Bombyx mori: one gene and its partner. The protein of the gene in region 1 purifies or fractionates together with the protein of each later gene. This does not show direct contact. Links are inferred from orthologs where the notes say so. Each region holds a gene or a part of one and is shown on either strand. Other genes may lie near its edges.

What was found.
Region 2: the proteins of ran GTPase-activating protein 1 (region 1) and importin subunit beta-1 purify together in Homo sapiens (affinity purification with mass spectrometry; 3 studies listed by BioGRID and IntAct, with this or other methods). This does not show direct contact. The link is inferred for Bombyx mori from reciprocal best matches to the Homo sapiens genes RANGAP1 and KPNB1.

The regions. Positions count from the first base shown.
Region 1 is NC_085117.1:343,116-346,615, forward strand, and holds part of ran GTPase-activating protein 1, read right to left. Parts: intron 2,707-3,500; coding exon 2,604-2,706; intron 1,897-2,603; coding exon 1,785-1,896; intron 1,319-1,784; coding exon 1,223-1,318; intron 1-1,222. UniProt on the Homo sapiens protein: GTPase activator for RAN. Converts cytoplasmic GTP-bound RAN to GDP-bound RAN, which is essential for RAN-mediated nuclear import and export. Mediates dissociation of cargo from nuclear export complexes containing XPO1, RAN and RANBP2 after nuclear export.
Region 2 is NC_085110.1:11,420,956-11,425,076, reverse strand, and holds the start of importin subunit beta-1, read right to left. Parts: upstream 2,801-4,121; 5' UTR 2,663-2,800; coding exon 2,605-2,662; intron 1,832-2,604; coding exon 1,590-1,831; intron 1,216-1,589; coding exon 1,035-1,215; intron 880-1,034; coding exon 620-879; intron 213-619; coding exon 26-212; intron 1-25.

The DNA of each region.
Region 1 (3,500 bases):
CAACGCGTGTCCCACGTCCCATAAGGAGGTAATTTGATAAAATAAGGGGGGCACTAAATAAATATAGAAAATGTATATTAAAATTATTTTGACTATGAATTTCAGTTTTTTATTATATGTTTTAAAATACTACTTACAGTGTGTTTTGATAACCATTTCATAGTGATTTTTTCTTAAAACCTATCATTTATGTTCCTAAAGTAAACAAAACAATTTTTTAATGTTTAAAAATGATGTATGGGGGACATAAAAATTTTAGAAATGTTACAGCGGGGCATGGTGCAAAAAAAAGTTGGGAAACACTGATTTAAGAGATGGTAGTAGAATAGTTTGTTCATTGTGTTCCGATACAGTCCTTACTAGTAGTACTTACTTACTTAGTAAGTAATTATATTTATACTAGCTGACCCGGGAGACTTCGTATTGCCTTAATCGATAAATAAAAGACCTAAACTTTTGTATAAAATAAACTTAAAACAAACCAAAGGAATCTGTCCGACGGGGAACACATCAAAGAGAAAACAAAATTGTTATTTTTATTTAATTCCGAGCATTTTCATATTTATCTACCTTTTAAACCTTCTCTGGACTTCCACAAATAATTCAAGACCAAAATTAGCCAAATCGGTTCAGCCGTTCTCGAGTTTTAGCGAGACTAACGAACAGCAATTCATTTTTATATATATAGGTTATACTGAGTAATAACACTTGGAAACAATTTTTGTTTCGTCGAAGAGACTTTTCTGACAGAGTCCCTATATATTCAGTTTGTGGGACGATCTGTATATTATTATGTAAAGTGAACTTGGAAATGTCGTTGGCGCGATTCAGGTTACTCCGGTTTCGGTCCACATCTGTCATCACAGTTTGTTATAAAGCAAACTATCTAAATGTAGCCACGACCTCATTGTATTTGAAGGCCACATTCACACTGAAATGTCGAGGTGGGTAATGACAGTTACTTTAGTGAGGTCAACAGGCTGTGGTGCTAGATGAGCCATGACCTCTTCTTCTTCCTATTCGTACACTCTGGTGAGTGTGGTCGTGGTCATGCATCAGTCGGATCCTGCGATACCGATGATTTCGCGATGCGACGCCATGTGGCACGATGTTTCGCAGAGTGAGGCCAATCATTTATGTTGCTGTGAGTCACAAATTTTATGAGGTCTGAGAGTCTGAGGTATGAGCCATGACCCGGTCCACCCAAACAAAAACAACTTACATTCATCATCGCTGCCCTCCCCATCGCTGAGCTCTGCTGAAGCACCGAGCTTATCTTTCAGGCTCTTCTTGTTGGCCGCATTGCCCAAGCTGTTCCCTGTAAAATTAAAAATGTTCTAAACAGATCGTACTTAATGAAGTAGTCACTACTTAGTAGTGTGTTAAAGAAATCAGGACTCTTTCGTTATGGCAGTAGATGCCGGACAAGTTTACAGATGTGAATGTTATAGATATCACGAAGCATCAAGTTTTTTATTTTTATTGCTTATATGGATGGACGAGCTCATAACCCTCCTGGTGTTAAGTGGTTACTGGAGCCCACAGACATCTACAACGTAAATGCGCCACCCACCTTGAGATATGAGTTCTAATGTCTCAGTATAGTTACAACGGCTGCCCCACCCTGCAAACCGAAACGTATTACTGCTTCACGGCAGAAATAGGCAGGTTGGCGGAACCATCCAGTACGGACTACGGACCAGTAAAAGTAATTGAGCAATGACCAGCCAGATCATATACCAATCATCAAGATGGGTTAGTACGGAGATGAAAATAATACTGACCTGCCAAAACTATCCGGCTGAGTCTTTCCTGGCTGTCGGGCTGCTCAGTGATGGCATCTACCAGCTCCATGCACGCCTCTCGTCCGATCTCGTTGTGACTGAGGTCCAGAGACTATAGTAAAGGCACAGAAATTTTTATCTGCTAATAATATTTATCTCAAAAGTAGTTAGTTTAACATATATTTGTCTGAGTTGCTCTTAAAACCACAGATTCGCGTATGGAAAGACCGACCAAATTTATTTGCATTTAGATTTAGCAATTTTTTCTCTCTAACCACCTGTCATTTTTGTAAATACTTTGACATTGGCAAAATCAATGCCAAAGGCGTTGAAGCCAAATTATTTATAAAAAAAAGGCAGAGAACAGTTGAAGTCGTCGTGGCTTACAGGATAAGAGAAGGCGGGTGCACTCATATTGAACCAGGGTTCGAATCCCGCAGGTACCAATTTTTTTCGCTCGATATGAATGCACCGGACGTGTTATCATTTAGGCCACGACAACTTATGTCAACAGTGTTTCCAGGGATGTTATCTACCATGTACCATCTGAATTTGGAATGAAGTCCCCTCCACTGTTTCCCAAAACATTCTGTCATGTCCTTCTTCAAACGAGGTTTGTAGAGGGTCCTAAACGATAGGCAGCGGCTTGGCTCTGCCCCTGGCATTGCTGAAGTCCATGGGCGACGGTAACCAGTCACCATCAATTGGGCTGTATACTCGTCTGCTTACAAAAGCAATAAGATAAATAGTGATTGCAGAGCTGGTACGTGTGAGAAATGCAAATGATTGTTATATAATTTAATATATATACATACGTACCTCTAATAGCAATGAGTTTCCCTTGAAAGCTTTAGCCAAAGCTCTTGCTCCTCTGCTCTTCAGGAGGCAATCACCAAAGTTAATACTTTTAAGATTCTTTAATCTGTAACAAACAACTTTTAATGCTGTAATGGAATAAGAAAATGGTCTGTAGCGGTGACTCTGGGTGCATAGAAAAACCAATCTTACATATAAGTTTTAAAATAACATTCGGACTGTCTATTTACAGAGCTTGATGATCTGAAGTGGACCGTTAATAAACATGACAATTCCAAACTTAAATTCAACTCAACAGTTTGTAGAAAATTGCATTTTTATAGTATTGGAACGTCAATGGTTAAACAGACTTATTGTGTAATTGACATGTTACCGAACACATAGGCTTAAGTTTGTAATCTATACTATTATAATAATATTATAAAGAGGAAAGATTTGTTTGTTTGTTTGTTTGTTTATTTGTTTGTATTGAATAGGCTCCGAAACTACTGAACCGATTTCAAAAATTCTTTCACTGTTTGGAAGCTACACTATTACCGAGTGACATAGGCTATAATCTTTTTGAAAAAAAAATAGGAATCCTTACTAAAACTCCAATAATGTAACCCAAGGTGTAAAAAAATTACCTAAAATATTCTTTACATCGCGTGCCCTGCGAAAACCATTGATGATAGAATAAAATAATGTCCTACGACTTTGTAGAACACATTATTATTCACAAAAAGTGTCCCAACAGCATATGTCTAACTATTATAGTTAAGCCGCAATGTGGCGGGTAGCCATCATACAACGCAAGATAATTGACAGATGCCTGAATCTCGCTTACGACATTTTCAAGATAAAGCGCATATATACAAGTTATAGTTATAGTTATAGTTGTGGTTTTCACTATAAATACGA
Region 2 (4,121 bases), on another chromosome or scaffold:
GAGAATAGAAGTATCACTTTCATACCTGCTTCAACTGCTTCAGCTTCTTCAATTGCGAGATCTATTTCCTCATCGCTCACATTGGACCAGAATTCAATACCTTGTAATGAAATCTCATCAATATCAGATTTCATAGCCTCAAGTGTTATGGGGAATAGAGCTTGTCCCATGTAAGGTTCCATATGTTGATAATAAAGTGATAAAATTTTCACCTGAAGATAATTTTGTTTGATTAAAAACTATTTTTTAAATTAATTAATACAGTAATTGTTTAAATTTAATCATGTCAATAGCTGGTATCCCAAAAAATAAGTCTTAGCTTTGTTATTCATGTTAATATTATAAATTTATAACTGAGTAAATGTAATATTAATATAAATTGTAATTCATACACTTTCATATCTAACTAATCAATCATTAATTATGAAATTTTACATAAATGCTGTCAAGAGTACAGAAAAGGACATAAAAGGATACTATCCACAAAAAAGTAATATTCCTGAGGTATATAATTTTTTCTACTTTCATGGGAAGAAAGCTAATGTGGTAGCTAAGGTGGTATTTTATTTTAATTTTAAATATAATACTTGGATTCACATTATATATTTATAAAACTTACTAAGCATTGCAAAGCAGCAACGCTGATTCTCATGTCACTAGACTGTGTGGCTTCACAGACAACCTCCATAATAAAGTTTCTTTCATTTTCTTTTTCAAAGTTCGCTCTGGTGAATTCTAGAGAGTTGAGCAAAGCTTGAGTAGCAGCTAGTCGAACATGATTACTGGGTTCAGTTGACCTCATGCCATGTATGATGGCCGTAAGAATTTGATTACTTCTTTCTGTTAATACTTCAGCATCAATATCCTGACAAATGTAGCCTAGAAGAATAAGAAATACATCAGTATTGTTAAAGAGATTAATAGCAATTTGCCTTTAGTTATAAAGCACAATTAAAACTGTAATTTTTTTTTTGTTTATTTATATAACATAATTTGTCATAGCTCTTTTAACTATCAAATGTTCATTCAGTTACCAATAGCCTCCAAAGTCGCTTCCTTTTTGAGTTCAGTAGATTGGACATGAACAACATTTTCTACAAGAATTGGTATTAGATCATTCCATTGTCCTACTGGGAGCTCAGCTACTGCCACATACGCCACACACTGTGCTGCTGAACTTGGACGACTATTCTCTGTTCCTATAGCAGCTAATATCTAAAAAAGAAACTAGTATTAAAATTAAATATAACTTGGTTACCTACACCTGATGGAACTTATCAGATTCTCCACCTTCATTAGTTCAAGCTCTATACTATAACTATACCTGAGACCTTAGAACTTGTATCTCAAGATGGGTGGCGTAATTACGTTTTAGATGTCTTGTGTGTTTGTATTTATTAGTGTTGTGTTAAATTATATTTATTACTAATTTTAATTTTAATCTAAGTAAGACATACAGGGAATTGCTATTTAGACAATAATTGAGCAATTTAGCTTAGAGATAATATTATATATATTTTTATTATTAAGTAACTTATTAGTGAATTTTTCAATGTTTCACTTGTTTCTTGTTTGCAATATTGCCTTACATTTTCTTTTATATAAAGTCGAACATCTTCTGCCAAAGCCAGCCATCTTTGTTGATATTGTTGTTTAAGTGTAGGATCTTTAGAAGTGAGATGATTTTTCAATTGCAAACCAGCTGCCATCCTAGCCACTTGACTGTTACCACCTTGGAGAAGGACATCGGACAACATTTTGATGAATGTTGTGAAATTTGTGGTGGCAGCATGGTCGAGGTATCTAACTGCTGCTTCCAATTCATTTCGATCTGTAAGCAATAACCATAATCTAAGTACATAATTTACAAAGTGAAGTACCCCAAATTTAACTATGTCTGTATACTGATATGTCACATGAAAACAAAAGGTGTTAGAGAATCAAATTTGTGAGGTCTTTTTTGTATTTTATTACCACTGAAACCAGGCGAGAATATGGGCCACCTAATGGTGAGTAGTCACGATCACTAATCCAAGTCATCCATGCCAAGGGAACATCAAAACCAATTGATTATTTAGTACCACTACTTCTTTTATTATAATTTCTTAATAAATATTTTTATACTTTGAAATAATGTTGTTTAAATATATTTTATACGGCCCCTGTTGCACATTGTTTCTTTCTTATTAGGGTATGTATGTACAAAATCGTTACCTATTCATTTAATACTACAGAATATCCACTATTTTCTAACCTTAAACTTATTTTTTTGTTTTTTATATGTACAATGAATTAAAATAGCTATTGAATTCAAAAGTTATAGCACACTTTTTCATTGAATGTTAATAACACAGACATCGTGAGGTTCGAAAGCTGAACTAGAAGTTTCCTGGATGACAGGTAAGCATTGCGGTTGGTGATACTAGATAAAATTACAGTCTCGTTTTAATTCAAATGCTTTTTGCTGAGAAATGCCATTTTTTTATCCATTCTACAGTTTTTCCGGATAAATTTCAGAATCATGGCATAGTTTATAGGTAGCAAAAGTACGTTATTTTCTATAACGCCATCCATGTTCATGTTGATGTTAGTCATATTACTTACCAGGTGAAACTGTCTTCTCAAGTATTTGTATAAGCGTTAATGTTGTTTCTGCGTGCATTGTTTCACTATTCTTAAGTTTATGTTGCAAAAGACTGACTCAATCCTGTTTTTTGAAAAATAGAAACCGGCGGACGACGGAAGAACACTCATGAAATATTGGCTATTGAGTATTGTTGCCAGCAGAGGGTATTTTTAATCTATACTCTATTTCAATTGTGATAGTGTAGGACACTGGCCCACGAAATCTGGTAAAGATGTCGCTAGCAGCTGATTTTTCAAGAAAAAAGTGTTTGGTATTTAATCAAGTGTAATTTCTCTCGATTTCCCCCAAAAGGCACATATAAACCACAATAAGTTTTTCAATTTCAAGTATTTGGTTATATATCATGACAATGATAAGCTTTCCAAGAAGTCCTAATGGATTTACCATAATTAATCTCAAATAGCAAATAGTTATTTATGCGAGCATTCAACTTTTGTCCAGTTCCTCATGTCACACATCTGCAGTAATGCTGTTGCCATTTGATCAGAAGGTGTGATACCGGCACTAGACCATCAAATATTGACCATGACTTTTATGGATGTGTTTTTGTTTAGGGCATTGCTTAATTGCTTAACCAGGGTATAATCAACATGATGACCGCTTACAATTATTAAAAATAATAATTTTTTCTTGGCAAGTAATAATGCGGTTTAAAATCCCTTACTTTCTGAGTCTGTCGAGCAACTGTATACGCAACTTATATTTTAATGCGTTCGTCGCGTTGGCGATCGTTCAATTGGTACAGCAACTACATAACAAGTTTTGTTACTTTCCCAATTTGACGCAAATAAACCTATATTGTATTGATGCTAGCATTAAAAGCTGTTGCTAATTCAACGATAGCTTGAGTGTCGTTATTTTCCACGATCGCTTCTGATTCGTCGTTGATGATTGTATAGATTTAGGCGTTCGTATTTTATATCAAATTTCCGGAAAGGCTTACTCAAAGTGTTCACTCCATACATATATAATTAATGTTGTGGGTTGTTTGTGCGGCATTGTTGCCGCGATGGAACTCTTATTCCATTATTACATATATTTTTACTATACCTATATTAACATGAATGTGATGAAAACAAAGCACTAATCAAATGACCGAATTTGAAAATAGAATTCCATATTTTATAAATAAGATTAGGTAATTTGAATTTATGATTTATTGCTAGAATTTAAATTTTTTTCTAGGCATGCATGATGTGTCATAATAATATGGCCTTGTAAAACGGCAACTTCGTAAAGATATACATAAATAAGACATTTCAAAATACAAGAATATAGGTCTAAGGATAAAGATCTATTTAGCTTTGAATTCGCTTCTATTTACCAGTCAAATTTAATAGTCAATTCAAAAAGTGAAAAAAAATTTACTTTGGACAAGTTGTTTGCGTTCTTGAACTCATACACAAAACCTCGTGCCGGAAATTGAATTTGATTCACAAAATCGTTCGGCAGTTCCAAATTGGTTTTATGGGAG